Caenorhabditis elegans: one gene and its partner. The protein of the gene in region 1 interacts with the protein of each later gene in a pairwise test. Each region holds a gene or a part of one and is shown on either strand. Other genes may lie near its edges.

Region 1 (16,818 bases):
AAACGAACAAAGCCAATTATTTGACAAGTTTTGTTTGGTTTGAAGGTTTTTCTTTTTTGAAATTCTCGGGAAAATCTACTAATTCCGTATTTTCTTCTTTTTATTTTGATTCACACTATTTGTGAATTTAAAACCATGCTAAATCTACTGACAGGCATATTACAAAAACCGAGACAGTAAGTTGTTTGGTTCCGTCACGAGCAGATGTTCACTGTCATCCTCCTATAATCCATCATTGCTAGTGAATAAATTGCACCCTTTTCGCTTCCTAATTGCACTTTCTACACTTTTTCTCTTGTTTTCATATTCTTTCATGTTTTCTAATAATGCCTATTATTATTTCTTGGGATTGTTACAGCCAAAAACAGATTTTTTTTGGCGAAAAAAAAAGAAAATGTTACTTATTCCTAACATTTCTAAAAGCCAGTCGAAAAAAAAGGGAAATTCAATGTTATGGCTTTGAAACAGTTTTTAAGCATATTATTTGCATAGGAAGCAATTAAAAATAATCTTACCGAGTTTATTATTGCGCATACGGTATTTTAGTACGCGACCTAAGAGTAAGGTCTTGACCAAAGTGGTTAGTTACAAAATCGAAACGGCTCGGCAGTAGCAACAAGGAAAGGATATCAAATTTCAAGGCAGTTTTCAACCCAAAAATGTGTTTCCGTGTCTTTCTGTCGGCGCCGCGCATCTCAATCGCTTCCATCCTTTGTCGGGAGTGCCGGAGGAAAGATGCACACAAGTGCGTGTGTTTGTGTGTATGCACAGGCCTTGGGAATGGTAGAGTTTTGGAATGTCAACATTTGCATGTTTTTCGTGAGCGCTGGACGATTTTCACATACTCTCATGTTTCTCATACTTAAATGCTCATTACAAATTGGTTCATAATTTGGACAAAGCCTTTGAACTTTAGAAATCATAACAGTTTATTTTTTTCAACAGGAAAATGATACTTGCTTTCAGTTTTTGAAATCTCCAGACTTCTGTGAATATAATAACAATTTTCTTTTTGGGTTAGAATTATGAAAAAAGAATCACAAAACAAGCTTCGAACAAACTTTCTAAATATCAAAGCATAGCAAATAAAATAATGAACTTCTCATAGTAAATGTCAGTTTTAGGTTTCACACTTATTCACATTATTAAACTATCTTCTTCAATAAAGTAGCTTTGTAAAACCGCTTCATTTCGCTTTAACCTTTTTTCATCATTGTGTACAGTAATATTTTGTTTCCACAAAAAAGGCAAAAATTTATTCATGTCTCCCAATAAAATACTAGATTGCTACTGACCGCCTATAAATATTTTACACCACAATTCTTGTCGTTATAACTCAAAATATCGCATTGGTCAACAGACCAAATGGAGACACGTTCCTAACACCCACAAACTTTCTCGCTTTCTTATCATCCAAGTCTTTGGCAAAATAGATAGCAACATGTAATTGACTAGGCAAATAAAACAAAATTGCTTTGTTGAAGCACGAGTTTCATTTTTGTTCCATCTTCTTCCTTGTACAATTCTCCGAAAACATGATTTTCTGTCCATTTTATCAGTTTTCTATCCTTTTCCATCTCGATATCTCGATAGATTTGAAAATCCAAATTCAAAACAAAAAATGAATAAGAAAACGATAGCGGCAACCAACATCATCGTCGGCGTTCTTCAAGTTTGTCGTCAAAAGGAGACACGCTGTGAGTCAGTTTTGTCTGATTTCATGCTCTCTTCGCATCCCAACGACGGGTTGTTTGAAATTCGAATGCACTTTTAGATGGGTGATATTCGAATTTTTAAGCAATGAAAATCTATTGCATTAAATCTTTTCGAGACTCCAAAAAATCTTTAATGGTCTGGTAATCTTAAAGCCCCGTTTAAATCACGAAATATCCGCTATTTGGGAGTATGCAGAGTGAACGTGCTAGGTTGTTCCGACTCAATAGACTCATGTTTATATAAAACTAGCTTCCTTAGCTTGGTTTACTTGTTCGACAATATCAGTCTGAGTACCTGCCATATGAATAAAATCAGATCTTAAAACAATCTGTGTCTTCAAAACTATTCCATAAGCAGAAGCTGGCAACCCAATTTTTCTCTAGATCTTTCACTCCTCTACCAACGACCACGATTCCTTGGTTCCCAGGCTTCTTACGCAACATATCGTATGCTTTTTTTTAAACCGAAATCAAAACATATCAGCAACGACCACCTGTTTTGTGGTTGGGTCTCCCCAACCTTCACCTTTTTGAGGTGGTTCAACTCCTCCTTTTTTGAATGGCGCCACCTTTAAAAGTTGGGGAGGTGTTCCAGAGCTCCGCCCATTGAAACACTTTAAGATTTGAGCTATCTCAAATCATTCTCAAGTAGATATGTCAAACCATACAAATCTCCCAACTATATTTGAAGAAGGGTTCGAAACTTACTTAGAGCTCGCACACGTCGACGACGAAGCAAGTGGTTCAGACCTTAGCCTGAACACAGAAGATTCAACTATTGATCTTGAATTTCTTGGAACCTTTTCACATTATGATGAAAACCCCAACAGCAGTACCTTTACTGTTGATTTTTTGAATTCGTCCTGTGACTTCAGTAATCCTGATGCAGCGATTTTTGAAGATATCAAGAGCATTCGACTTGGTTCAAACGATTTGAGTACTTTTCCAAATGAAAATGAAGCAGTCTATAAAACACCTAACAATCAGATAGAAGAAAGTGCAGATTCACGAAATGCCAAAAAAGACGAATCAGTAAAGAGGTGGTGGCAATTTTGGGGGTAAGTTTTCTCTTGAGTTTTTGAGAGAAGAATAGTGGGATTCTGTGAGTGAGTGAGAAAGAGTAGAATTCATTATAGATATAATTTTTATTAAAATAAATAATGTTTTGTCAATTTCTGTAATACAAATTTACCATGATAAAGTCGTTAATTTTAAGTGTATGAAAATTGAATTGTTTCACTGTAAGCTTATAAGACCTGGTTATGTTGAGAAACTCCGTAACTTCATTTTTAAACGGTGGTTTGAATATAATTTTGTATAATGGAATTTCATTTGAAACATCCACAGGAGCATATTTTGCAATGCACTCTCTAATTAAAAAAAAAAACTGCGTTTTCTTCACGTTTTGAGTTAGAAAGCAATGCTTAAACAACCGTCTTTCGTGGCGAAGTTTTGTCGAAAATGAGTTTTTTAAAGATGATTTATTTGAAGCTCATATTATGTTTAAATGGAGGTATTGTTTGTGAATTAATACAATATAGATAAACCAGCCGATGACCGCGCCTCCGGCGCGGCCAACGACTGGCGGAGTTTAAAATGTATAACACATAGATGTCCTTTCAATCATTCAAAAATGTATCATTAAAAAAGTTGAAACTTCATCGATTAAATCGCATTTTCTTCTTCCATGGTATTCGATTCAGAAAATTCAAAGAGACAGTTAGAATGTTCTGATTTTTCTACACTCAAAATTATAAAACTGCGTTGCGTGTACCCCAAAATAGTCCCCGCCTTTTTCTCGTTCACTCACGGGGAAAAGGCAAAAAGCAGTACCCCAGGTAATATCAGCCGCCGACATCATTCGAGGTCCGCGCACCACACTATTTTTCTCACTGTTGGCGTGGCGAGCTGTCCCCCTCCCCCGAAATAATTCCACAGAGTTACAGTTTTTTCAATAAGTTAATAACTTTCCTTAACTGGAGAAGTCTGAATAATTAACTACTAATAGTAAGTTCTTTGAATATAGATGTGACGAAACAAATAAAAACTCCTACAGTTATAGGAGGTTGTAGAGCATTTCAGAACTTTTTGAATTTTCCAGATGATTCTAGAACATTCTAGAATTTTCTTGAAACTTCCAGAAGGTGCTGAAACAAAAAATTGATTCCAGAACCAAAATTTGAATTTCCCGCCAAATGTTTTCCTCAGAAAATTTGAATTTCCCGTCAAAATCTTTTTCACTGAAAATTTGAATTTCCCGCCAAATTGTTTTTTCACTGAAAATTTGAATTTCCCGCCAAAATTTTTTCACTGAAAATTTGAATTTCCCGCCAAATTTTTTTTCACTGAAAATTTGAATTTCCCGCCAAAAATGTGGGTCTCACCGCGAAGGGTCTCACCACGATGGGTCTCACCACGAAGGGTCTCACCACGATGGGTCTCACCACGATGGGTCTCACCACGAAGGGTCTCACCACGATGGGTCTCACGACGAAGGTGACAGGCCCCGCCCACAACTCTCACTGACTTTGGGTGTGACGTCACAGACTACAAAGACTACATAGACTACAAACTATGGACAGACGAACTGTATTTTTTTATATATAAGTAATGATATTTTTTTCATAGAAAATTTGAATTTCCCGCCAAAATTTTTTCACTGAAAATTTGAATTTCCCGCCAAAATTTTTTCAGAAAATTTGAATTCACGCCAAAAATTTTCAAAGAAAATTTGAATTCCCGCCAAAAAATTTTTCAGAAAATTTGAATTCCCGCCAAAAATTTTCAAAGAAAATTTGAATTCCCGCCAAAAAATTTTGAAGGAAATTTAAATTCCCGCCAAAATGTTTCAGAGAAAATTTGAACTCCCGCCAAAAATTTTTCAGAAAATTTGAATTCCCGCCAAAATTTTTCACAGAAAATTTGAATTCCCGCCAAAAAATTTTAAAGAAAATTTGAATTCCCGCCAAAAATTTTCAAAGAAAATTTGAATTCCCGCCAAAAAATTTTGAAGGAAATTTAAATTCCCGCCAAAATTTTTCAGAGAAAATTTGAACTCCCGCCAAAAATTTTTCAGAAAATTTGAATTCCCGCCAAAATTTTTCACGGAAAATTTGAATTCCCGCCAAAAAATTTTAAAGAAAATTTAAATTCCCGCCAAAAATTTTCAGAGAAAATTTGAATTCCCGCCAAAAATTTTCAAAGAAAATTTGAATTCCCGCCAAAAAATTTTGAAGGAAATTTAAATTCCCGCCAAAATGTTTCAGAGAAAATTTGAACTCCCGCCAAAAATTTTTCAGAAAATTTGAATTCCCGCCAAAATTTTTCACAGAAAATTTGAATTCCCGCCAAAAAATTTTAAAGAAAATTTGAATTCCCGCCAAAAATTTTTCAGAAAATTTGAATTCCCGCCAAAATTTTTCACAGAAAATTTGAATTCCCGCCAAAAAATTTTAAAGAAAATTTGAATTCCCGCCAAAAATTTTCAAAGAAAATTTGAATTCCCGCCAAAAAATTTTGAAGGAAATTTAAATTCCCGCCAAAATTTTTCAGAGAAAATTTGAACTCCCGCCAAAAATTTTTCAGAAAATTTGAATTCCCGCCAAAATTTTTCACGGAAAATTTGAATTCCCGCCAAAAAATTTTAAAGAAAATTTAAATTCCCGCCAAAAATTTTCAGAGAAAATTTGAATTCCCGCCAAAAATTTTCAAAGAAAATTTGAATTCCCGCCAAAAAATTTTGAAGGAAATTTAAATTCCCGCCAAAATGTTTCAGAGAAAATTTGAACTCCCGCCAAAAATTTTTCAGAAAATTTGAATTCCCGCCAAAATTTTTCACAGAAAATTTGAATTCCCGCCAAAAAATTTTAAAGAAAATTTGAATTCCCGCCAAAAATTTTCAAAGAAAATTTGAATTCCCGCCAAAAAATTTTGAAGGAAATTTAAATTCCCGCCAAAATTTTTCAGAGAAAATTTGAACTCCCGCCAAAAATTTTTCAGAAAATTTGAATTCCCGCCAAAATTTTTCACGGAAAATTTGAATTCCCGCCAAAAAATTTTAAAGAAAATTTAAATTCCCGCCAAAAATTTTCAGAGAAAATTTGAATTCCCGCCAAAAATGTTTCAGAAAATTTGAATTCACGCCAAAAATTTTCAGAGAAATTTTGAATTCCCGCCAAAAAATTTTAAAGAAAATTTAAATTCCCGCCAAAAATTTTCAGAGAAAATTTGAATTCCCGCCAAAAATGTTTCAGAAAATTTGAATTCACGCCAAAAATTTTCAGAGAAATTTTGAATTCCCGCCAAAAAATTTTAAAGAAAATTTAAATTCCCGCCAAAAATTTTCAGAGAAAATTTGAATTCCCGCCAAAAATGTTTCAGAAAATTTGAATTCACGCCAAAAATTTTCAAAGAAAATTTGAATTCCCGCCAAAAAATTTTGAAGAAAATTTGAACTACCGCCAAAAATTTTCACAGAAAATTTGAATTCCCGCCGAAAAATTTCAAAGAAAATTTAAATTCCCGCCAAAATGTATGGGTCTCGCCACGATGGGTCTCGCCACGATGGGTCTCGCCACGATGGGTCTCGCCACGAAGGGTCTCGCAACGATGGGTCTCGCCACGAAGGGTGACTGGCCCCGCCCACAACTCTCAGTGACTTTAGGGGTGACGTCACAGACTACAAAGACTACATAGACTACAAACTATAGACAGACCCACACTATTTTTTTATATATAAGTAATGATCTCAAATTCACAATTTCCTTTGTCAAGTTACTCAAAAGTTGGCTTTTGTTTTGAATTTCACTATAAAGTAACCATAGAGACATCTTATTGTTCTTCCATTATACTTCACCTCTCTATATCGACACGGTTCTCATACACCTACCAATTACCAGTTAGCGGAAAAATATGCACTGAACTGAAAAAGTCGTCATAGTCATTATGAATACTATTATTCGTGTCACATTTGTGTGATGGGTCATCACACCATCATCATTTCATTCTCTATCTTTATACATATCACATCTAGTTTCTACTTGTTTATGCATTGAAAATCTGATGCTTCATGCTGTAACAAAAGTTTAGGATTTATTTGCACGACCTGCCCTACCTCATTCCTCGTCTTCCACATTTTCTAATCAAATGAATTGAGGACAAGAAGAGATATCAAAACAGAAGATAGGTTGATTTAGCACGGAGGTGATAATTGGCGAAAAAATGGGGGAGAAGTGAAAGCGCTAGGTGATAAGGGGAAGAAAAAAGATGGATGGATGTGCGTTTTTCTTGACATATCTCTTCCAATCATGCCATGTTTCCGCGGTCCCGTTCAAAATCACACGTCAACTTTTTATTTTGATAGATTAGATATATTATTTCAATGTATTCTTCTCGCATCTCAAATATTTAGGAATAACTGGATTGAGCTAAAAGAACTTTGAAATGCTATATTTATACCTTTGTTTTGAACACCCAACTTTTCAACTGGTTAATACACTCTTTTTTAAAAATGCAAATGATATAACCAAAACTTTTCGTGGGAGTTAATTAAGTTAAAAATATTTTTAAATAAATATATTATTTAATATATGGTGTACGGTTGAAATTGTAAGCCAAAGATTTTTTAATGTGCGGTGTGAACAACGAAACAGTTCCAAAAGTTTTTTGAAAAATCTCAGTTTTTAAAACTTCGAACTTGGGGATTTAATATAAAATATTTGGAAAACTACGAAATCGCATATCTGAACCGCCTCACTATAGTTTTTTTGATAACATTTTTCATACATTTGTGGTTTTCAATTTTTACTTGTCTAATTTTTATTTTGATTAACATAAGGACAATTTTTCTGTAGAAAGTGAGCAGAAATAATCAATTTTTTTTTTAAATCACATTGGAAACTAAATCCTCAACGCAATTTTAGATGTTTGAAGTGATATGTGTTTATTATTCACCTACATATGCAACACGTTGGAAACACTTATTACAACTTAACAGCACGGGTTTATCATTCTTCCTTCCTTCCACCTTCTCCTCTCAATTTCCACCCTTTATCTTCCCTTTACTGCACTTCATAAGTGCTTTTATCTCTTTTTCTTTTCCTCTCGATTTGCAGCATGTCATTATCTTTTTTGTCGTATATGTTTAAGTCAACGATTATTAACTTCAATTTAAGCATCGACCGTGTATCCTGTGCTATTATGTTTTTGTTGTTTGAGGCTATTTTGAAAAGTGCACAGCCTCCTCCGCATGTGCTCACTAGTTCTAATTGAATTTATCTGATTATTCGAGGAGAACCTTCTCAGATGCATAGAGTTGGTTTTTGTTCAAAAAATTTTTTCTTAGTCAGAAGTTAAATGTAATGTGCACCCATCACTGATCATAGTACATATGAATATAAAGTTTATTCAGCGAAGTTAAGGATTCTAACATGTAAAACAGCTGAATTATTTAAATTAGGAAAAATCGGTTAAAATCACCTTGAAAAATGTTGCCATATTGACTATAGCTATTAAGTAATAATTTTCTAAATGGAATTCATATTAATTCAGCTGGCAAATTTGGAAAAGTGTTTTGTCACCATCATGTTTTATTTTTATTTTTTGTAATTCAGTTAAATTGTTGGACGCTATGTTTTTTTGTTGAAGAATTGACACGAAATTCGTTAAAACTATAATTATCATTTTTTAAGAACATATCCGACAACTTTTCGTGAGAGCCATTGCAGTTTATAAAAGGTATCTTGTTCTAGTGGTACATTTTAGATGTAAACTCGCAAAGAGCTGATAATATGAGGAAAATCTTCACTATAATTTTTCACCTAAGAATATCCTTGATGACTACAACTCGAACTCAATTTTCCATAAGCTACTATTAAACTTTTTTTTCCTACATTGACCATTAGTAGTATTAGCTGTAGTTATATTCTTTGTTGTTGTTGTTGCATCCAATGCACTCCTAGACCGACAAAAATTGCAAAGAAGAAGAGGAGAAAAGAATGTGTAGTTTTGTGGAGTTGTGAGTGACCGGCCATCCACATTGCGCCCTTCCTATTCCCATCACCCTGCTTTCACCACTCTTGTCGAGATTTTGGTGAAAAGCGAGTAAAATGCAATACATTACGAGGCATTCTTCGCGCGGGAGGAAACCCGGGGACCCCCTTGCTTTTCATCTACAACACTCCCTTTTTCTACATATTTCGCATTTCCTATCTTTTTATGCATTACTACTTCTTGTGGACCCCTTGAGTAGCAAAATACAACTACATCTCAAAAAGAGAAAGTAAACAAGATTAAGACAAAAAACTATATGTGTTCACAAAATCTGTTCTTTCTCCTATATTCTATCCGTCTTTTTTGTTTCCTACTTTTCTTTTTGTTTTTTGACATGAACATCTGCTTTCTCTTTTGTCCTAAATTAAATTCTGAATCGATCATTTTACAGGAGCTCAGATGAAATGAGCCTCAAAGACTTTGTCATATCAAAAACCGAAGTAATCGATGCTTGTAAAAAAGGAGAATATGATAAAGTTGCGTTGTTTCTCAGCTCGAAAAAGGGCAAAAAGATTCGAAGCGGGCTGAAGTAATACTTATTTTCTAATTTTCAAATAAACTATTGATATTTTTCAGATTTTTCACAACGCGATCAGACAGTCATTGGCTCGCCGACTACAAAGATGAAAAATCTGACTTCACCTTACTCCATCATGCGGTTCTCGAGAATCAAAATCAAATCAGTAAACTCCTTATGGACTACGAACCACTTCTTTTACTGTGTAAAAGTACAAAAAATATTTTACCAATTCACTTGGCCGCCTGGAATGGGAACTTGGAGATTGTGAAAATGCTTCTTTTACAAACAATGGAAAAGCCCGCAGATATTCTGAATGCAGTGAACATTTTCAATGAAACTCCACTTCATCTTGCAGTTCAGAGATGTCATCTTGAAGTTGTGTTCTATTTGATAAAGGTAAGCAAAGATAACTTTGAGAATTAAAACTATTCGACTGTGAACAGGAACAACATTCATATCTATAATAAGTTATTCAATTTTGCAATGCGTTTGACGTTTGATTCTTGTATAGAGATTAAATTGTTGACAGATTTAACAATTGTTAGCTTGAAAAATCACGTATCGTTTCAATTTCCTTAAATTTCAGAAAAATGCCGACCCCTTCATTCGTAATGAAAACAAGGAAAATGTGATTGACGTTGCATCACGCATTGGATCTGCTGAAGCCATCAGAATGTTGTGCCAAAAATGGCCAAAGTTTCCTGTGCAGTCAGCATATGAGTCTCTTCGAGTTGGAACACCGGACATAAAACGGCCCTTTCCGGCCATATACCCATTTCACCTTGCAGCAAAGTATAATCACGTTGAGTGCATGCAAGTGAGTTGCTTTTTCCACTTTGCTATTCATTATTCAAGAATTGAGTATAAGAGTAAGGGTGATGCAGAATAGTTTACTCCTTGCGTGAATGTTGGTAGCAATTTGAGAATAGCAAAAAAACGGGGTTAATTTTCTGATAGGCGTGTTTCATATGAATCTGCAAGTTTGTACAATGTTTACAAATTTGAAATTCGAAATAGATTCGATAGTAACATGCTTATGATTTCATTTTCATAACTCATCCCAAAAAACGTTTAGTTTGAAATATAAACACTCAACAGATATTTTTTTGACTGTGCACTTATGCGTCACGGTGTTTGCGGTTTTCCAACAAAAAAAACTATATTTTCTGTAGTAAATATTTTGAAACACTACTATTTATTATTTGTATTTTTGTAGTTTAATCATAGGTTTATAAGACTCATATGTTCTGTAGATTTTTTTAGTTAAACAAACCCAATCAAATAATTTACTGTTTCACTTAAATGAAAAATGTACTAAATGTTTAATTTCAGGCTCTTCGTGAACATGGTTTCTCCATTAACTACACTACGGAAGATGGGACAGCTCTACATGTGGCTTCTGCTTGTGGACAGGCCGAGGCAGTCAGGTTTCTGCTGGAAATTGGCGTGAACACTGATATCAAAAATCAACACGGACAAACAGTGCTCCAAATGATCATCGATCTCCAGGAGAACCGAAGGAATGAAATCGCCCATTTTGTAAAAAATCCGGAAGGATGGAAGGAATGTAGAACAATTATCGAAGGAATGGATAGAAGAGACTCTGGAAGAGAAACCGAAGGAAGTCAAAGTGACAATGAAAGAGAAGCAATTTGGCAACCACTTCCAAGTCAAGCAAGCGGTGGGTTATTTTTAAAACTAATAATATGTGCATTGTAAGGAACATTTCGGTTATCAATCGAGTTAAGCTCAAAGTTCAAAATCTGAATGATAAATAAAGTTATTCACGATTTCAGTTCAAGTATACCCGGATCAACGAAGAAACAATCATTCCATCTACCAGCCACCTTCTATTTCTGCAAGACTGCGAGATTTATCCCCCGACGACTCTACAGAAGCTTTGAACAGTGTTCGATCAGAGGGGCCTTACACCACACACTCTATCAATCGTACATGGAACAGTTCCATGTTAGACAGAGCTCCAAGAACTGGAAGGTTCCCGTTGACATCGCCTAGTTATCACTCAAAGCATTATTCGTGTCAAAGATCCAGCGATACATTGCCAACGAGGCTGAAAAATGTTAGAACGAGGCCAACAGAAAAGCAAATAGGTAATCTATTATCGATATTCTGAGTTTACGGATTGACTTTATTTTCAGCTTCTGTACTCCCGGGAGATAATTGTGCATACAACTCTCCTTCAAAATTCAATGAATGGCAAAAGAGTCAACTGACCATTAGCAATCGTCCGCCAGCACCATATGACAACGTTCCGAACAACTCTGCAATATTCGTCCGCCCCAACTCACCAATAGCAAGATCTGCATCACTCCGTAGACAATCCGGATACGCAACACTTCCAAAACTTGCCACCTACTCTCCAAGAATTCCAGATCATGGTCGTCCTGACCTGAATGACGCCTTTATTCAAGACCCAGACAAAACAATGGATAGGTCATTGAATCGGAACCGTAAGTATAGGAAACGACTCTAATTAATATAAAATAAAGACTTTTAAGAGTTTTCTATTTCCCGAACTACGTGTGATCGTGAAGAATCGCTGGGATTGACGCAAAGTCCAAGACTGGACACCAGAGCAAGCAGCATAACATCATCCTTGACATACGCGTGCTCGACACTTGACAAAGGTAGGCATTTTAAGCAAAAATGGAATGATTTAGGGGCATACGACAACCTAAAAAATTTCTAGCATATGATGTACGAGTTGATAAGTTCGGGTAGATTATGAGAAAACGAATCTTCCAACACTGATCTCATGCTCGGTATCTTGTTAACTCTGAAAAAAAACTTTGGTCAATGACAAGGAAAAAATCATTTCCTAAACTTATGGAGTCCTGAAGTCAATCTAAATAAATGCAATTTCAGATAAGTTCTTCCGGGAACGCGAACGTGATAACGGCCGTGCACCATTGGCAATGCCAGAAGAAATAACAGGTTCAGTGACAGGCAGTGTCATTTACAGCCAAGGAAATGCGAATCAACATCTAAATGGGAATTATGAGAAAGACAACAATGTGACTGCAATTTTTTTAGAAGACGTGATGAGACCATCATCAAACTCTGCCGAGAGCCCACCTTCCCCAAACACCTCTAAAGCATTCATCTTTGACGCGTTATGTGGAAAATCTCGGCTGGTTGACTCTACAAATGTTGATTTCTTCTCTGGATTCTCGTCATCGTCAAATTTGAGCCACAGAAGCACTGAATCAACGTCGAAGGTGCAGATGAATAGCAGTTTCACTGAGCCGGAAGAGCCTGTCCGAATCCGCCGTCAAAATGGAACAACGAACCTTATGCTGAATTCACTTTCACCCACAGATAATTTGTCGTCCCCCTCATCAGACCAGAAATCAGACACGACCAGTGAAGAACCTAGTTGGGATAGGGTAAGTCGATCAGGGGACAAACCAATTTTTGTTTATTTTTTCGTAACAATGGCGTATCTGCAAAAAGCACACGGATTTTATGTTTCTCAACAGTTTCTCAATAGTCAGCTATTGTTAATGTAAAGAAAAACAGATCAGAAGTTTTTTTTAATGATAAAAACCTGCACTCGCTGTGCGGGCTTAATTCTTACGGTGTATTTGAAATACAGAGCCAGAAAAACTGTAATAGGTCAGTCTTTTTTGTGTATTTGCAAAGCTGGGTAGCGGGAATAAAACGCAGTAAAAAATAACGGCAGCGCCTAAACGTTTGTGCGTTTTTGGATTATCAGCATTAAACAACAAAAAACGATTTAAATGTCAATTCTATAATTTCAAATTTGAAAAAAGTGTCAGTGAAACTTTGTTAATTTTTTGTATAACAGGTGGAAAGTGTATTCGATTCGTTTGGTGCAGCTCCATGTCGTGAAAGTGTTTTTGTTCGTGAATACGAGCCACGTGTGGCAGTTTACTTACGTGATCGTGGGTCGAAAGCGTTGAGCGTAACACTTGTCGAGGATGAGTTCAGAGATCACAAGTCGCTTCTTGTAAAAAAGGTACTTTTAGTTACATTTTTGTTTCAACTTCCATTCATGTCACGTTTTACACCGGTTGTTCATGTTTCAGCAACCAAAAACAATAATTGAGTGGTTGGAAAGTGATGTTATGTTAGCCCCAGTAGCGGCTGATTCAGTTGGAGCACTTCTTCAAACTCATGGATATGATAGAATGGATCAACTAAAAGGGATAATAAATAGAAGTATCCTTACGGAAATCGGAGTAGATGACGTCACCAAGTTCAAGATAATGTCAGAGATTGAGAAATTGAAGGATGATGTTGCTAGTGCTGGTTGGTTTTTTTTTGAAACATAAAACACATTCATAAAACACATTTACTCTGCCGGAACATTTTAAGAAACCTTCATCAATTTTTCAAATCACTTTTCAATTCCAGGACGTTTCTTCTATGTTAGTGAATGGCTCAACTTCATCGGACTTCAAGATTACATTTCCAACTTTGTCGGTGCAGGATACAAGCATATGGCAAAATTGACAGAAATTGACTGGGACACGGCAAGATTGATGGTGAGTAAATTTGTTCAAATAACAACTTTTGTGATTTTAAGATACTTTTTATCACTGATTTCGCGTTTATTAATCAAAAAATATCCATAGACCTGTGATAATTGTTGCATATTTTTAATTTCAGCAACTCGGTGTTACTCGTCCTGGTCACATTGCTAGAATGCTCCATTCGTTCAAAAAAGCAGAAGACGAAAAAAGAAAAGAGTACAATAATCGACTACAGATTAAGCCATTAATGTCACCTCCTCCTCTGCCGCCAAGGTCAAAACAGTAAGTTTTTAATGAGAAATAATTTTCAAAAGAACAAACATTCAACAAGTTTCAGAAACAACTGTGCTGAATGCCCACAAGGCGATTTTGACAAGATCAAGAACAAGTTGCTGCAGGGCAACGTGGTGTATCGTGCACACCACCTCGGTGTTCTGGAAATTGGAGAAACCGAATGCTCTGATGAAGCTCATGCAGCTATGACAAGAATCAAAGAGTCGATAATTGACTGGGAGACTATTCCACGGGTTACTTTGGATTTGACTTGCAATGGAATCACTATCTTCGATGAAACTTTTAAGGTAATGATTAAATTATCACCTAATGGAATTGACAAATTGTAAAAGTTCAGCAGAACTGAGAAGCGGTTAAAGAATAAGGGGGTCGGGAAACAATAATTTAACGACTGATACACCTGCATTCGTTGCAGGAAAGTTATGACGTGAAAGTATTTCATAAAATCTGATTACTTATGAAATATACTTATACGATGTGAAAAAAACACAAAGATATTTTAATCGTATGGTATTTCGGAAATTGGATTTTAGAAATAGAACATCATATTTCTCGAACCGAGAATTCATATTTTGTTTGTGTTTATCAATTTTATCAATTGTATTTTCTCAGCAGACGTTAGAGGTTGAGACGTTTTTTGACTAGTCTAGGAAATTCGCCGCAATCGGATATCAGCTGTAGGCCACAAAAGACCACCCGCAATATTAATTTGATTAGAAAATCCGAAGCGTTGACAAACTTGCCCCCCGATTAATCTCAATGATTTTTTAGACTCTACTTGACGGCTATGGTGTCTATACAATAAGAGTCGTATGTCAGGATAGAAAGGATCTCAACTTCTTCTGCTTTGTTGCAAGGGACACTGAAAATCGTTTCTTTTGTCACACTTTCTGTGTGCTGACCTCGGTATTTCGCACAAATAATGCCTTAGAAAAGTTCATATTTCTAGGGAATTGCCGCAGAAATCATCACCACAATCGGAATGATGTTTGAGCTCAGAAGCAGAATGGACAAGTCTCTGCCAATCGAAGGAACAATGGTACGATGCCGGCATAACAGTCAGCAAACTACTGAGAACCAAAGAAATTAAATCCAGCATATCGGTCAAATTCCAAAGAATAATTATTACCATTGATCCCAGTATATCTGAATTTCAGCCATAAGTAGATGAGATTGGCTTTTGTTACGTGTAACTTTACTTAATTTTTAAAAACCTTATTGAAAGTTGTTTTCAATTTAATTTCCTAACCCGATGTCTTCCTTACCCGGAAATGTTTTAATTCTAGCTCTTCAAAAGTGCATTCCGTTGTTTGATGTTCTTTCTATTCTTGTTTTCCCAACAACTTAATTTTCTTTTAGCGATTTCAAACCATACAAAGTGATCAATAAACAGTATTCTGCTGATCTTACGTATTGGTTTCATCAACCCCTCACATCACATCAACCTTTCTCGATTCTATCCTATCGTTTTTTTCCAAAAACCCTTCAATTTTTTTGTCCATAATGAATTGTTCCCATCAGTTTTAGATACATTTTTCACCACAAAAGATGTGTTTTTTTTTTGCCCATCAAAGGGCCATAGGGGGTGCCGTCGTTTTGTGATTCTTTCAAAAAGATTGGCAGGAGAAGATAAAACTGAACCGAGTGCAGGAACAGAAAAAGCAAGGATGAACCCCTCCCTTTTCGAATTAAATAAATAGAGGAAGGGAAGGCGGAACGGTTGCATTTTTTCATGAATGCATCCATGAACGAACTTTATGACGTGAAAGGACTTGGACTTTCTTCAATGGATACGAATATTAGAAATGCACCATCCGTTATAACATCGTCCCCTGGACCATCAGTGTCAATATCGTTAATTTCAGGTATTAGTTTTTATTAGAGAATTTTCTATATTCCAATTTCTCATAATTATTGTTAAAATGTTAATAGAAAAATTTCAAACTTATTAGGTAACCGTAGATAAAATCGGTTTGAAAAGAAAATGCTCAAAAAAATTTTCACGTTTCATGCCAAACAACAAATATTGAGAAATTTGTTTAATGAATGTTTTTTTTCAACTTTAAATGTGTTTAGCGAAAGGCCCTGAATTAATTTGAATAATTTCTTACAACAACACAAATTTTGTGTGACTACGAATCCGGAGATCAGTCTTGCAGGATTGACATTGCTTCCAACTTCGTGCCCACAATGCCATAGTTTGCATACTTTGGACATAAACAAGCTGATGTCCTCAATTTCAAGTCTTAATACTGCAACTAAAATAACTCCCCACATCTCTTCATCGTCTTGTTTTTTACCTTCATTCAGTCATCAAGTTGAAGAGAATTTTCAAAAACGAAAAATATTTAATGAAAAACCACAGCCTGAAAAAAGAATTTGTATGGAGAATATGTCGCATCCAGTTCCATCAATTCCAATCATTTCCGCACCTTCAATTCAACAGACCAAACATCCAAAGCACGTGTTTAATGATTGGATGAATTTTTTCAGCAGTTTTAATGGAGCTGTTAACTTGAAACTAGATGATGGAACAAAAGGGAACAACTTTTACTATCAGTTCCATTTGCAACTAGCACAATATTACCAAGACAAGATGTGTATGGAAGGAGTTGTAAGTGTAGACTTTTATACTGATGTTTAATGAAAAAGCAAATTTCAGATTCAGTTAGGAAAACCGTTCAAATTGGAGGAAACTTCTGACGCGGATCGCATGAACATA
Region 2 (16,818 bases), on another chromosome or scaffold:
TGAGTTGTAGAGACGCAGAATGTCTCGGAAGTTGCTCTCTTTCTATTCCTCTTCTTCCTTTCACTATCTCTCTGTTGGTGCTCGCGGTGCCATAGTCCAGATCTCTTGAGGCTATCACCACTTTCTTTCACGACGTGATAAAAGCTTTTATAATTTATGAAAAAGAACTGTAAACTAATTGAAATAATGAAAATAAGAAACCTAGAATAAGATGTAGTGAACTTCCATTAGTCAATACAATTTATTAGTCATCGTAGTCGGTACTTTTGTGTGTGTATCTCTCTATGTCTATTACATCTCATGACACATGCAACAAAAGCGAACTTTTACTCATAGCCTTGTTTCATTTCAATGCCCAATCATCAATCGAAAACAAATTGTCATTTTGTTTCTCTCTCTCAAATCTCTCTAATCCTTCACATCTCGTCGACATATGTTCCCCATTGATATCAAATTTTCAAGTCGTTTCGCTCATCTTCAGCTTTTCCTCCTCTTACTCCTCCAGATAAGTGTTGCCAATTCAGTTGGATTTCCCTTTCCTTCCAGAGTACCCTCTCACTCTACAGCTTGTAAATCGACACCATCTGGCACAGGACATAATTCGATTTTTATTTGCTTTTGTTTCCACTTTTGGCTCAGTCCTAGAGCTATACATAGTTTTCATTAATCATTGGAATGCTCACTGAGTTTTATGGGTTTTGTGTTTTGCTCGAAGTGTTCTAAAATTAGAGCTTTTTGTTCTCAAGTTTTGGTATCAATATTTATTTTGGTAGCTAATTTATTTCCATACTCCGAGTTACTTTTTTCAAAATGGATTCTACAAAAATTGAGCAGTTGATTTGCTAAATCTTTAACTTTTTCTATAAAAATTCCGCACTAATGTTAAAGAACAAAAAATGAAAATTTTAGAAAAAATAAAAGAGAGTTAAATGAATAATGCATGATTCAATTTCTGTTTAGTCTTCAGAATAACAATCCAATTGCTTGTTGTCATTGGGCTCATTCTCTCTTTTTTCCTTTCCTCGGCCGTTTTTTTTTCAAATTTTCTATTTGCTCCAATTTGTGTCACCACCCCAAAGCCGCTCTGTTTTTTTTTTACTTTTATTTTTTTTTGATTTGTGCTACCTATTTCTCATGTCTCTCATTTCGGAACGTTTTGACACTTTGTCAACAACCTATTTCTCCTTTTCACCTATTCTTTTATTCTTTTTTCTTAGATCTTATCGCTTTTCTGGAGTAGTCACAAAAAAACCAAAGCAAAGAAAAAACGGGTGCCGTTGAATATATCGGAAGCATCACGCCTTCAGATTAAATTTCATTTATTTTTTTTTGCTGCACATATATATTTTTCAATTTTTACGAAAAATCTATATCACAAGGTTGTCCCGTTTTCTCGTTCCATAAACAATTTATGATTGGAAAAAAAAACATTTCCAGTCGCAGGTTTTCTAGATACCTGCTGCAATTTATTCGTATCACTTACTCCGTTTGAAACAAATACTTTTTTCTAGGAAATTTTGTAATCAAGGGTTCAAATTCTACAATTGCTGATAATAAAAATATTTGCATATCTATTTTTTTCTGAAAAGTTTTGAAATAATTGTTTTTTGATTAAAAAAAACGATCGGAATATTCAAAGCTCCTTTTTGGAAGAATTTCTGCTTGTCTTTTACATCAAAAGTATAAATTTTCCTGAAAATTGTACCCAAAATTGAAAATTTTTCAGAATCCGTAAATATTGTTTTTGTTAAAATCCATTTGTCCAAGGTCACAACTTGGTAAGTATCTCTTCTTCTTTCTTTCTCTCTAATCATGTCTTTTCTCGTGTTCTATTCCAATTCATTCTTTTCCGTGTGACACTTCCAAAGAGTCTCTCTCTCTCTTCAATTTCCGTAAGGACGACGTCTTCATCCATAAACAACTTTTCACTTTTCCTCACGTCGCCGGCCCGTTTATGACCGCATCGTGCGTCCACCATTTTCACCCATTTTCCCCTAATTTCCTTTCATTTCAAAATGACCCAAGCATTGTCTCAAGGCTCCCTCTCACTCTCTTTTGGTCATTTTTATAAAACAAGTAAAAGCAATAGTGAGCCAACAGCACCAATTTCCTGCTCTTCACGCATTTTGTATCCATGAGCCATTTTGTTTCGGCGCACAACGAGCTGTGCACTTCTTATAGTCTTCTTTCCAATGGCTTCTTCTATTTTTCTTCCATTTCATTTTTGCGGACAACATCCACTAGGAAATGCATTCCCGCGCACTGCTGCCGATATATATGTACACAATTCAAACACCGGCCACCCAATATGTTTGCATTTTACAAGTCCAATCTGTTCGGTTACCTTTTTTCTTCTTTGCTTCACACCCACACAATTTCGGTTCTCATTCAAAATACTTATCTAGCTGACAGACAGTTTTTGGTTTTTCACAATTGATAGTGTAGCCATGGTATCTGACTATAAGTTTTGAAATCTTTTAAATTTTAGACGCGACAAATATTACCGTCTTATGGTGCTAAAATGTCCAAATGCCAAAGTTATATTTTTTGTTTTAATTTTCGTAGATACGAGTTCATATTTTGTTATATTTAAATTATATTTGTTCCAACATCCCAGGTGTTGCAGTACTGTTTTAAACTTCTCATTGTCAGAAAGTCCAAGTTTTCGAAAATTAACCTAAATTCATTATTATTCAAAAATCTAAAAATTCATTTTTGTCATTTTGGATAATTATATATGTACCAAGACAATTTTTTTAAAATTAGATTTAAAGTGCACCAAGAGCACTGACCTTTTTACTTTACTCGCAGCAATTTCTGAAACAGCTGCAATTTGTACCAGGTGCATCTTTCCCCAGCTTTTTTGTCCGGCTATCGTCCAGCTGCCATTTTTAAGATTCTCCTTCGAACACTTTGATTTCATTCCCTTTCAACTCCAGATGGTACTTGTTTTCAAGATTCCCAGTTTTTTTGTTTTCCATTTTCCCCCATTTCAACTACTTTTCTCCGGCATCTTATAATCTTCATGTGATCATCGTGTAATTATACGCTTATTTTCTTTTTATTTTCCAACTTTCACTTCTAAAATACTATTCAATACTCAGCTTAATGATTCGCAGAATGCCGTCGAATATTCGAGAATCTGATGCATCTTGTCTTGAGATGATACGATCAATTATACGATCAACAGCAGATGATAATTCAAAATGGGTCGAGATTTTTGTGGATTTTGAAAATGCACAACCAACAGATGAAGAAAGGGAAATATATAATATGGCTGAAGAAGTATTAAATGATTGTGATTTAGTACTTGCTGATGTATCAAGTTATGGAAATGGTACGTTAGATTTTTATTTTTTAGTAGACTTGTAACATCAATTTTCAGGTTGCTATGCAGAAAGAAATCAATTAAAAAATGACAGTGATACTCAAGCTTTAAAAGTTTTAATGACAAAGCTTGAACCATTTGTTGCCAGAACATGTTCCTACTATGAACATGTTGCAAAAATTGAAAAAATCGTACCAATAATTCTATGGGAATTATCATCTGGCCCATTACCTCTCGAAGAACAACTTGCAAATAAACAATCAATTGCCAAACAGTTTGCACGATTAATTGGATTTGTATTGGACTTTGATGTCGTAAAAGTATGAATTCCACTTTTCCAATTAAAGAAAAAAATTTAATTTCAGATGAGAACCGCCCAGATAACAAATGATTACAGTTATTACCGACGAGCAAAACATATTGTTTATCAGGATTTTGAGTAAGTATTTAATTTATTTGAAACAATCTAATATAATTTTAAATTTGTAGAGACCAAGGAGTTCCCGAATTACCACAAGTTCAAATGTTTCTTTGTGAAGGAAATCCAATGTTAAAAGCACTTTGTAATGGTGTAGATTCGTACATGCAGACACATCAAAGCTTGCCAATTAACAATACAACTGATGTTTTTGTAACAATTATCAAGTGAGTTTTCTATAAATTAAACTGAAAAACATACTTTTGGAATATATCGTAAACTCCATCCGCAATTTATGGAACACAAGCAAGAAAATGGAAATCTTTTAAATATCGTGATTAAATAATTTTTAGTGTTATGAAAAGTTTCAGTCAACGTTTTGGAAATCTGACAAATCTTTCAAAAATACTTCCAAAATTATGAATTGATCTTCTTTTTCACTGCAAATGAAACATTAACTTTTTTTGGAAAGTTCTTGGTCATTTTTGCACTTTAATAGTGATTTTCAACTACTTTTTTCACTGATCAGTCATGAGTTACGATATGATGAGTTACGGTAAAATAAAATTGTATTAAAATTTTCAGCGTTTGCCGATTCATGTTAGCAAATGACGAATGTCTGGCACGACTGACAGATTCATCGAAACATCTTTGCTGTCGAGTGATGACTGGCCTTGTAATATTATTCGATCACGTAGATCAAAATGGTGCATTCGTGTCAAACTCATCAATTGATATGAGAGATGTTGTCAGGTTGATCAAACTAAATACCACTCCTGAACAGGTAAGCGTTTTTCATATTTAGAGTTTTCGTGTAGTAGAGCGAAAATTGCTTATATCGTTTTCCAAACATTATGGGGACGCAGAAAAATGAAATGAAGGGGCAAGCTCGCTCCAACGCCAAACTATGAGTCTCGTTAGGAATTGACAGCATTAATTCATACAATTTGAAGTTGTTTTTAATGATTTTTGTTTCAAAATTATTATTTTAAAAATGCATGTGACAATGAAAATCGAATTTTTTTTTCGTTTATAAATTTTAATTCATCAATTTCGGACTGAAATTAATTTAAAAGAATAGCGGAAAGCATTTAAAGCAGACGAAAAATGTTTGAACATGTTCGAATTTCTAGTTTTCTGCGAATACCTAACGAGACCCAACAGTTTGTCCGTAAAGCGCGATTGCAAACGCGCTTTCAAAATGAGCATTTTTCTGCGCTTCCATAATAAAAATTAGAATAAAATTGAGCAACCCATATTAATTGTTTTATTTTCAGTCTGATTGTCTACTTGCTGGTCTTCGTTTCACAACAAAACATTATAATGATTCAAGTACTCCAAAATCTCTTCGTCATTTGATTGAAGTGAAATAATTTCATTTTTTGTCAATTTGTTCATTAATTCTAGTCATCCTTGCCTCTATTTTATGTTCTCTTATCGTTTCTAGTTGAAGCCCATTTCCTCATACACGGTGATTATGTTCCTCTCCTCGTCAAACAGTACTTTTTGTCAGTGATAATAATTATTTTTCGTTCCAATTCACCCACTCATTAATTATTTTTCTCAATGCCTTATGGTTCCGGTTCTTCTTTTTCTACAACACCCACTTGTATACTTTTCAAGATCTTTTATAAACATCTTAATTTTTTATATCACACCTTTATTGTTTTGGATCGCAAATATATAACAACAATATGTAGAAAAATTAAAATACAGAGTTGTTCTGGAGAAAGGAGGAGGGAGACACAAAACGTAGTGGATGAGAAAACAGTTTAAAATGGGAAATGGATGTGTGAAGGCAGAAAAGCACAAAAAAAAGGAAAGAAGAAAAACAAACTGGTCGGTATTTTTGAGCAGCAAATGAAGAAACAAGCGACTCGGGATGTAGTTGGTTGTGCTATACAACACCTATTATATAATTATAAAAAGAACCATGGGAAAGGAGAAGGCGCATTACGTAACGGTGTATCCGGACTATAAACACGTTTTGGGATAAAAAAGAAAATAAAAACGACGACGAAAATGTTAAAGAGGAGGTGTCATTGAAAAGAATGATAGTTAATTTGGATGAACTTTTAAAAATTTTCGAGGGGATTATTCGATAAAAATTCGAAAACAGATGAGAAACTATAAACTGCCCTGCTTATCGAAATTCTATACGAAACAATTAAAAAATTCTGGAATCATGCTCATCGAGATTCTACTGGATAAGTTACAGGAGACGAATTGAAGAAAATCATCTTCTATGATGCTGTCAAAAATAACAGCAACCGCTTCTCGTTTGGCATTTTTCAGGGAAATTTAGAAGTATGAGAAGAGTGGAAGTCGGGGGCTAAGAAAATTTGGACATAGAAAGAAAAACACAGTCACAAAACAGAGGAAAACATGGAGACAAGGAAGACGTTCCTAGAGAATATTGCACTTCTTCTTCTTCTCCTGTTGTGGTGGGTCGAGAGCGGCCAGAATGGCTTCGTCGAATACATTTTTCAGTCCCTTCTGAAAATAAACTATTTAAACTTCAATATACAAGCGTTTTTAATCAACATAATATGAAAACTATGGTATTTTCAGCCGGAATATAGAGCATTTCAGGAGATAATTTTTTGCACAATAAAAACAGAATTCTGGTTGTTCGTTTTTCCCGAAAACATGACCGTTGCTAAATATAAAGCAACAATTTAACTGAAAAGTGATATTTATATTTTAAAGTGTCACGTATTTCCACAAGAGCCTCGTTTTAATATTTAAAAATTTATTATTTGATTAGGTTTCGTGGATTGGATGATATTTTATTTTAATGTTTCAATATTATCAATGACTATTTTGGAAAGAATGACTCACCTGCGTCAACGCTGAGCATTCAACGTATTTCACTGCTTTCAATTCCTTTGCCAACTTCTCTCCAACATCCGTTGACACTGGTTTCTGCTTGTTTTTTGCCAGTTTCTCGAGCATTCCTGGATCATCCCTGAGATCGACTTGAGTACCAACTAACAAGAATGGGGTCTTTGAGCAATGATGCGAAATTTCAGGCACCCACTAAAACAATTTCAGATATATAGAATAAATTCGAGAACAATATTTCTTACTTTTTCTCGGACATTCTCGAATGAAGCTGGAGCAACCACGGAGAAGCAAACAAGAAACACGTCGGTCTGTGGATACGATAGAGGCCTTAATCGATCGTAATCTTCCTGTCCAGCAGTATCAAACAATCCTAATGTGTATGGCTCGCCACCGATCATTACTGTGACCTGAAATTCGGAAATTATTTTTATATAAAATAATTTTTTTTTCTTAAACTTACGGCGTAATTGTCGAAGACTGTCGGCACATACTCAGAAGGAAACTTGTTTGTGGTATAGCTGATCAGGAGACAAGTTTTACCGACAGCTCCATCTCCAACGACGACGCACTTGATCGTCTGCATTTCGCCTGAAAAAAAAAATGAATAAAAGTATTAAAATTACGTCTTTATAGTGAAAAATACGGATGAGTCACATAAATGTGCACGCACACGTTTTAAAAGGAGAGATAACTAGAGAATGAAAACGAATTGCGAAACATCAGGCAGAAAATCAATAGTCTCTTTCGAAATGCCACGAGCGTTTCTTTACCATTGGGAGCAATAATTATCGAAGAAAGAGCAAGAAAAAAAAACGGTAAACGCCTTAATAAACGATGAAGAAATAAGGCAAAATGGCCAAAACAACTTGTGCGTATAATTCTTTAGATGAGGAATTTTGGCAATGATTCATCGGTAACTGGTCGGAAGTTTGAATCGGTTTTCCGTACCAAACAACTTGCATATATTTGAAACTAGTTATATTTAAGAAAAGGTACAAAAATAGGAATAATTCGACATGAAACACTGGAACATCTCAGTCAGGATTATGTTAGGGGAATTTGGAAGCAATGTTCAATAAAATGTCACGAAAATGATTTCAATAATTGTTAAACAGTCAGACAAACTTAAGCGGACCATTTTTTAAATAATTTAAAACATGATTGCTCCTTTCGAGAAAATTTATCAAATTAAAAACTGATAGGATACTTCGATCGTCTACCTACGTTTATTGATTAATTCTGCTCTTATAAATGAATAATCAATAATTAGAAAAAACAATAAAAGCCTGTAAAACAACGAAAAGCGTGAATGAGCTTTGTTGAACACGGCGAAAAAAGGAAAAAAAGAAGATGGTGGACAGTTTGTCGGCGAGCCTAAAGACGACCGCGACGCGGCCGCTCGCACTCATAGACTACGCTAGTGGTGAGATACGCAGAGAAAAAGACGAGAGAGTATTGAGAGAATGGAGACATCACTACATCTAACATAGGGTCGCCAGTCGTCACCGAATTATTGGATTCAAATTTAGGTCCCGTAACTCGTGAAAACTTATTAGATCGGTCAGTTATCTAGATAGAGTACTTGATTAGACAAATGATATCCCAGACTGGTCAGTTTCAGTCTAGAAATGACGCTGTAAACTTCGTAAAACCACCAAATAGGATTTCTAAAGTCATCATCTAGAATTTAAACTATATCTCACTTTGTTACGCTGTGAGGATATTATACATACATATTTTGTATGTAAGCTTAGTCTATAACTAGCGTAACCCGTTCCATGCTAACAGACGGGCGGCCATTTTAGTTTTTTATTTTTCCTGTGCGAACGATTGCCAGCCAGAAACTTCTTTCTTTTTTCTTGTTTCTCCTAGTGCAGAATATTTGTCCTCAATTTATAAATACCATCTCTAGAATATTAACTTCGATTGAATCCGTTGTGTTTTCCATTTTTTCTCAATTGTATTTCGTAAAATTAATTTTAAAATTGCCTTCTTTTTAATTTTAAGGTTTTATATTTCAATATGCTATTTCGTATTTTTTGTCTTACATTTCTAGATAGAATTCTAACAATGCTCCGATTGAATCTCACTCGCGAAATTTCTATTTCTCTTCTTTCACTTCAATCCAATCGACGATTCAATCTGCCCTAAATTTTTAGAATTGCATATTTTCTCTTGATAACTTCATTGTAAACCGTGTGAATTCCATGAAATTACATGTTCGTAATACTTTTCCCAATTAAAAGAAGAAAAATTTGGAGTTTCGATAACCGACGGCGCGTACTTCTCTTCTTCCTTATTGTTCGATCAATAGTCCCCCAATCCGGTTCCCTGCCGCGTCTCCTCCCTTTTCCGCGCGAGATGTGCCTGCTTTTCGTTCATGAATTTCGTTTACAACGTCATCAGCTCTTTTTCTGTATTCATTCTGAACACATTCCCGCCTTCACTCGAATTTACCGCCACCGCACACCTGTTCATCCCGCTTCTCTCACTCCCAAACACTGTTTGTTTTGTCGCTCGTGCGCCTGCACGCAACAGAAGGAGGAGGTTTCAAACGCATTCCTTCGCAAGTTTATATGATATAGATTAGGTGAGAGAAAATTATTTGATTTGTGAAAAATCTTTATTCAATACGTATATTCTGCTTTAAAATTCTTTGCCATTACTCCGTGCGGGTTATTAGCCACACATGCATAGACACCCTGATCGCCCATTGTTGCCGGATCTGAAAATATGACAACTGTCGTATATTTAGCTGTCGTTATTGTAGTTTGCCATTCGCTCACAGTTAAGAAGAAAAACTTTAAAAAGCGCTGAATATGGCAAAAAAATTGTAGAGAAATGAGCGAAATTCCAAAATTTGCTGACAGTGACAAAAAAGTTTCTTATCATATTGTATCATTTTTCGCAAGGGTTCTAAAGATATTCTTGATTGACAACAATTTTCACTTACCAACTTCTAATTTACTCCAAATTGTATCATTTTCGATTGGCTTTTCGTAATACTGCAAGTAAAGCAGTTAACCCACGGATTACTGTACATGACTCACGTGAATGCTAGCTTTTGGTTGAATTTCAGCACCTTCCTTATACCATTTAATTGTCGGTCTAGGATCTCCACGAGCTTTGCAAATGATAAGTAGTTTGTATCCAAGCCGATATGTTTGACTGAAGTGAGAGCCAGTTATGATTTGAGCACTCTGAAAGACTTTCAAATTTTGTATCATTTTTTTTATTTCTGAAACTCGCTCTATTATCTGACAAAACCGTTTGAACCAACGAAAATTCTGCAACTTGTGCAAATTGCAGATTACTCTTTCCCTTTCCTTTTCCGCCTCGACGACCTCCTCTAGAATCGATGGCTTCCAGCAAGAAGCAGAAGAAAAAAATGCATCGACCCCATAATCGGAAGCTCATGATTCGCGATTTACCAGTTGGTGCAGCCTATCTTCTGCACCCGTCACTTCGTGGAATTTTGTTAAGGTGAGTTGAAAAAACTCTAAAAGAATTATAAATCGAAGAACATTTAAATCCAATTAGTTATTTAAAAAATATCAGTAAAAAAGTATTGATCGGAAGTCTCTGGACTTCGATAGCATGTGTTCTTGCTCTCACACCAGTGTAATATTTCGACAGAGCAAAGAGAAACGAAGAAAAGAGAGGAGTAATGTGTTTTATTCGATGTATGTCATGCTTGAATCTTTGTTATTCGGGGATGTTCTAAAATATTTATTTTTCAGCCGTCCAAAACGATGGAACAGTGGAAGCCCTTCCCATCGAATTGCAGTGAATCTAGTTCGAAAATACAAGAAGCAGCTGAAACCAAGAGTTCTTCCATTTTTCTGTGATCACTGTAGACTTGCTTCTCGTACGCTATTGCACATTAAAGAACATGTTTGTGACAAGGAAGAAAAAAGAAAAGCTGCGAGGAAGGAAGAATCGAGAAAATTTGCAGATTATGACGTTACGAATGGTACGAATAATTTATTATTCTCAATAATCCTTATAAAAGTAATTTCAGAAATAAAACTGGCTACAAATTCGGAAAAGCAATGGAGATTCAACGCTATGGCTGTGTTAGAACAAACATTAAGACCCAATAAAGTTGCACCGAAAAAAGTTGAAATAGAAGAAGATCCTGGAATAGATCAATTACTAGACTCTGAGCCAGACCAAGAGTGAGTTTGAAATTGAACTGAAGTGGTGAAGACGATGAGAAAAGAGAGAAGAGTGACTCTCAACTCGATTAGCACCTCCGTATTCGTTGTCTTTTCTTTTTCAAGAGTCTTCCCTTTCTTTTTTCAACAGAAAAGTAATTCAAGATTTTTGCAGATTTTACGACGCTCAAGAACAAGAATTTGAAGATGATACTCCACATTATCCGATTAAAGATGTTTTAGTTCCATCAAGTCAGCCACCTCGTCCAAAAGTGACTTTGAAATCTTCTGAATGTCTCGGTCACAATGATGCTGGAGTGTTCTGTTTCAATTGTAAAGGATCTTTTGACAGCTACAATCAGTTTCAGCTACACCTCAATGAAGATTATAACGATGGGAAATGCAACAGAGCACTTCCGGAATATTATTATGTACAGGTGAGTATTTTTTGTGTGAGAATTTTAAATTTTAAAGAAAGTAGAAATTCGTCATATTACCAAAAAAAGTAAAATTTGAAAATTTATGAATTTTTCAGTATATCAGAATTTTTTGTTTTAAAAAACATTATAAAAAAATACGGCTTCGCCAGTCCACGAAGAAAAATCGAAAAAGAATATCTACAGCCCTGGAGAAGGGTACTGTAATTTAGGAAAAAAAATATTGAATTTTATATGTTTTTTGCGAATAATATATAATTATTTATAAGAAAAACTAAAAAAGTACAATTTGAAATTAAAAAAAAAAACTGCACATAAGAAAAAATATGAAAAATCGCCGAAAGTGCTGAAAAATCAAATTTTTATTTGAGATTACTGTACTTCTTAAAGGCGCACGCGTGTTTAATTTTTTTACAAAACTTATCGTGTCGAGACCGGGTACCGTATTTTTCGCAACAATAATTGAGATAATATAATAAAGGCTAAAAAATAATATTTTACAGAGACACGATAGAACTCACATGTTCGATAAAAGATACAAACACAGTGTACAGCATCACAAGCCAATCAAGAGAGATATCAGTCATATTCAATGTACACTGTGTAAAGCCGTCAACTTTGCGTCAACAGGAGATCTTTATGCACATATGGTTAAATGTGCATCGTCTACAACTAATGAAGACAAGTAAGTCATTAAGATTATTGGATTTTTGAATATTAATTTCTTTTCAGAGAATCTGCAATTGATTGTCCAACAGCATTTGGTTATGGAATGCCTCCTTCATTTAATGCATGTCAGTATGTATTCCCTGATCCAGCAAAAGAACGGTATTCTCGAAATTCTCGTGGTTCTAAGGAACCAGTAGAGTCATAGCTACGACTCTTTATTTTATCCGTCAGTTCCTTTATCCAAATCATTCTTCCTGTAATTTAGTTTCATGTTTTATATTGATTTTTATTCAATCGCTTCTTCCTACACCATGTTCCTCATTCATCTTCTATCCACTTTCTCCTATTGAGGACTGCCACCGCTAGAAGCGACAAAAGCCATACTTTGATCTCACAACAGAACTACCTGAACTTTAAATTCAAGTTCTTGTAGTTCAACTGTCAGTAATTCTTATGCTCATTCACAAAGCCATTACCCATAACATTTTTTAAATGTATAATTTTTTATTGTATCTAGACCGAAATTTTTTCAATGAGTACCAGTCAGAAATTTTATCAAGATATAATCTTCAATATTTTCTGACAGTATTCCATGTTCATCTAGCATACAATTTCAAACGTTGTGATTCGATTTCCCGAGGACTTTCTCATTTCCCGCCTTCTTTCCATTTGCCTTCATGATTTTAGTTTTTGAAAATTAGAGCCGCTCAATTTTATCCATCGACTGGCTCGATCTCGGTTATGTTCTACAAATTTACTTGTTTTATGCACTTCAATAAATCTTTTTTATTAAACTTTTTTCAGAAAATCTAGAACATGGAAAGATTTCGATTGATATTAAAATAATATTGGTATGCAACATTTATTTTAGAAACAGATAATTTTCGAATTTGAATGTGTATTTAATAAATTGATACACATTTAATAAATTGATTTAATAAATTGAACAAATGTACAGAGATTTCGTTTTTAAGAATTATTTTTTTATCATCCAGCATGTGTATCAATTAATTTAAATTGTAAAGCAGCAGTTTTGATCAATACATCGTCATGGTTTCCTGGTCTCTGAAAATTTGATTATTTATTATTAAATATTGTATTCCCAGAAGCGTTATTTTGTGATTTTTCCACAAAAATACGGTATCCGGTCTCGACAATTTTCGTCAGAAACAAACAAGTCTGCGCCTTTAAGGGATACTGTAACTTCTAACTTTCGTCTCTGTGGAATTTTATCGACTTTTCGTAACTTTGCAAACGAATTGTTAAAATTTATGTGGGTTTGATTGTTTTTAATTAATAAATATTATTTAAACGAAAAACTTCGAAACAATTGTGAATACTGCACATCAACGAGGGTTGAAATTACAGCACTCATTAAAGGCGCAGACCCTTTTGCATTTTTCCAAAAAAAATCGTGCTAAGACCGGGTACCGTAGTTTTGGCGCAAAAATCGCAAAATTTTGTGTCTGGGTAATAAGAAGGCACTTTTGAAGCCTTGAAGAAATATCTTACTTCAAATTCGCCGTTTGCTCCAGCAATCTGTGAGCATAACTGTCCACAAGTATTACGGTATCCAACTTTATCGTCTCCTGGTCCGTAAATTGAAAAAATGTATTTTCCTTCATATCTTGGACGAGAATTGATATCCTTAATATATGCAGACATACATGATAGTCCATTATTCATGTTACATGCTCCAGGAAATGGAAGAGCACAAAGGAATGATCCACGATTGGCTCCTGAATTGATAATTCGAGAAGAAAATGATAAGAAAGCTCTGGGCAGTTGTAAATGTTTTTTTTGGATCAGATAAAATAAATAAATTAAATTAAACATATAAATTACATTTTCGGGTTCCTACGAAAAAAAATTTCAAAATTTAACTTACCAGCAACAGATACATATGTGTCAATTAATGCAGTCAATGGTGGTCCGAGATTCTCTCCTGTTTCCACACAAGCTCCTCCGAGAATTGCCTAAAGAAATTTGTAAATTATATTAAATGTTGGACCATGCTAAACAGTAAAACCCCCAAAACAATTTATCTAAGAAAAATGTCAAAGAGGAGGTGAGCCAACTTTTCAAAGTTCTGCATGCACCTTTAAACCTTTAATGTTTTCTATTGTAACTGATAATTTTATTTCAAGTTCTAGCAGTAATAAAGTAGATTTTCAATATTGTATTCATTTCTCACCTTTCTTGCAATTGGTGATCCCAATGAATAACCAATTACATCGACCTTCCTATGTGTAAACGCAGCAACCACTTGAATCATGTATCTCACCTATAACCATGTGTATATAGTATAGACATTTGAGTAATTTGAAGCTTATAAACCTGTTTCACATACTGACACTTCATATCCACCATTGGTGCCATTGTCTTTCCACCATCACCGTAAGTCGTTGCAAACACATGAAAATTGATATCATTAGAAAAAAGACGTCAACTTTAAGCCAATCGTTTCAGTTTTTCATAAACGCGTTTCTCGAACAATGAACGTATAGATATGGTGTTACACTAATAAAATCTCCTGTAATGGGAAACTGTATAACTGACCAATTCTTCACTCCATCCCGCATTCAGAAGATGATGTCTATGCCCTTGGAAAGTACCTGCAGTATTTGTGATTCCATGCACGAGAATAACAGCTTGTTTACTGAAATTAGAGAAATTAATTTAGTTTAATATGACCACTATAGTGATCAATAAAATTACGATGATGTCATGATTTCGTTTGTCTTAACTTTATGAACCACAAAGAAAAATGAGAGAATTGGTACTTAAATTAAACAATCTCGAAGTTCTGTAGGAATAAAAAACAATATAAAAGGGACTTTGCAGAACCAGACTGGAGCCACAATATTCTTGAAACTTGAAAAAAAGGTTCAGAAGATTTAAATACGATACCCGGTCTCGACACTACAATTTTTGTTAAATGCAAACGGCCTTTAAAAAGTACTGTAATTTCCAATTTTCATTCTTGTGGAATTTTCATAGATTTTTCATGGTTTTTTTAAACCGATTTCTTATTAATTATGTGATTTTTATGGTTTTTCATGGTAAAAAATATTTTACGGAAAACTATAAAAGAATTCGATAAAAATTCCAGAGCAATGAAAGTTTGAAATTACAGTAACCTTTAAAGGCGCAAACCCGTCCGGGTACTGTAGTTTTGGCGGAAAAATCGCAAATCTTCGCGTTTGAGTAATAACAGGATCCTTTTCTAACTTTTTATATATATCTTTTGTAATTGAAACTCCAAATAAACAGCGAGTACACAAACTTAAATTCCTCTCTAAAACTAGGTTACCTGGTTCTTTTACTTCCATCATGTGTACCACCACCATAACTTCCATGTGGTCCAATATCTCTTCTTGCCAATAAATCATTGATTCCTTTACCATAGTTATCAATTAAAAACTTATTGAAACTAGGTGAGAAATCTGAAGAAACCGAGGAAAAGCAAAGAAAACAGAGAAATATAAGATGCATCTTCACCTTCTGATTGTTGAAATGAGATGAAAAAAGGTCTCGGTCTTCTTTTTAACCAACTATTACAAACTTCTCGATTGCCCGTTCTTGTATTACAATCTTTGCGGTAACTTCGAGTGGTTTTGTTGTTTCCCTTTCACAACAATTTGCCAAAGAGATCGAGACAACAGTTCATCCCACACCCAAGTTCGATTTCACTCGACGCAGGTTTTTCTTTGTTATGTTCAAAAGAAATTGAACACATATAGCTGTTAACTAGACAACACAGTTGCATTTACAGTTTCATTTAAAACCCACCATCGAAGTATTGAAAAACCACAGTAGAAACTGCAATCCAATACGAGGTGTTAATCTTACGGGATCAAAAATAAATAGAGAACAACTGGGGAACGTATGAATGATAAATAAAAATGGAAACAATTCATGTTGCATTGAATGGTTTGTTTAAGCGGTTCCACCTCCACGACCTCCTCGATTGCCACGAGCAGGCGTATAAACTCCACGAGTTGGTTTAGCTCCACGGGTTGGACGTTGCATACGAGCGAGATTGCGAGCAGTTAAACGTTCAGCTGGTCGCTCATCGTTTGTTTCATTACTGAAAAATCTTATTTCGATTATGACATAGAATCACGCATAGTTTTACCTGCTCGAACATTGATCCTCTCTTTCGGCGTCACGAAGCCCCGTTGGAAGCCGAACTCTCTGCACGTCTTGGCCCATTCTTCCAGAGCTACCAATACCAGCGGCACCAGTAGGATCAGCGGGTGCACTCGGCTCGTCAATAGTTCCTAATGGATCACGCCCTTCGTCTTCAGCCTCTTCAACAGCAGAAGCTGCCTCACGATCTTGATCATCAAGTGATGGTTGCGAGTCTGTAAACTAAAATTAGGAAGAAGACGTAGATTAAATTTAAAACCTTCTCCTCCGAGAACTTCTTCAATATCACGGTTGTTTGATTCTTCAACCATCTCGATCTCCTCAATACCATCGTCGTCATCAATATCATTGAGACTCTCTTCATCATTATCATTTGCTGGTTCATCATCTCCATCGGATAGGACAACAACATCATCGTCGTCGTCATCTTCAGGAATTTCTTCTTCATCCTCAAATTCTTCGTCATTTCCGAAGCTATCATCATCCTCCTCTTCGTCCATTTCATCTTCAAGAACTTCTTCATCATTTTCCAGATCAATAACATCCGGCCGTTGTTCTTGAATTGTATTATCATTCGGATCTTCATCACTGACTTCATGCTCCATACCAAGAACACCATCATCGTCATCTAGCTCTGGAATATCGGCAACTGAAAAATAAAATTATTGCATGTTAAAACTATAGATAATTCTTGCCGTTGCTTTGTTGTCGAGTCTCACTACTTGTGACTGTTTCATTTGGACTTTCTCTCAAGCGCTTGGCTTCACTCAACTCGAAATCATTTGCAGTTCTTTTGCGACGAACATCAGA

What was found.
Region 2: the proteins of C11E4.6 (region 1) and R07G3.8 interact in a two-hybrid assay, tested with the Caenorhabditis elegans proteins (2 studies listed by BioGRID).

Annotation. Positions count from the first base shown.
Region 1 is NC_003284.9:9,601,407-9,618,224, forward strand, and holds C11E4.6 (ANK_REP_REGION domain-containing protein), read left to right. Parts: upstream 1-9,156; 5' UTR 9,157-9,169; coding exon 9,170-9,294; intron 9,295-9,341; coding exon 9,342-9,681; intron 9,682-9,871; coding exon 9,872-10,102; intron 10,103-10,617; coding exon 10,618-10,966; intron 10,967-11,081; coding exon 11,082-11,396; intron 11,397-11,444; coding exon 11,445-11,756; intron 11,757-11,804; coding exon 11,805-11,933; intron 11,934-12,171; coding exon 12,172-12,692; intron 12,693-13,114; coding exon 13,115-13,285; intron 13,286-13,355; coding exon 13,356-13,578; intron 13,579-13,683; coding exon 13,684-13,814; intron 13,815-13,938; coding exon 13,939-14,084; intron 14,085-14,139; coding exon 14,140-14,383; intron 14,384-14,867; coding exon 14,868-15,002; intron 15,003-15,045; coding exon 15,046-15,186; 3' UTR 15,187-15,639; downstream 15,640-16,818. Other genes in the region: C11E4.7 (PID domain-containing protein), read left to right, coding at 15,841-15,961, 16,256-16,710, 16,759-16,818.
Region 2 is NC_003280.10:7,606,815-7,623,632, reverse strand, and holds R07G3.8 (CYRIA/CYRIB Rac1 binding domain-containing protein), read left to right. Parts: upstream 1-3,119; 5' UTR 3,120-3,120; coding exon 3,121-3,337; intron 3,338-3,385; coding exon 3,386-3,648; intron 3,649-3,693; coding exon 3,694-3,767; intron 3,768-3,817; coding exon 3,818-3,973; intron 3,974-4,331; coding exon 4,332-4,530; intron 4,531-5,023; coding exon 5,024-5,119; 3' UTR 5,120-5,395; downstream 5,396-16,818. Other genes in the region: cdc-42 (Cell division control protein 42 homolog), read right to left, coding at 6,153-6,242, 6,588-6,785, 6,836-7,000, 7,054-7,176; Immunoglobulin domain-containing protein oig-4, read right to left, coding at 9,221-9,318, 9,547-9,598, 9,644-9,793, 9,843-10,010; R07G3.7 (uncharacterized protein), read left to right, coding at 9,952-10,076, 10,334-10,566, 10,615-10,771, 10,926-11,187, 11,691-11,872, 11,920-12,061; lips-17 (LIPaSe related), read right to left, coding at 12,844-12,921, 13,369-13,595, 13,745-13,832, 14,051-14,140, 14,194-14,271, 14,416-14,515, 15,170-15,351; npp-21 (TPR_MLP1_2 domain-containing protein), read right to left, coding at 15,796-15,955, 15,995-16,223, 16,268-16,657, 16,704-16,818.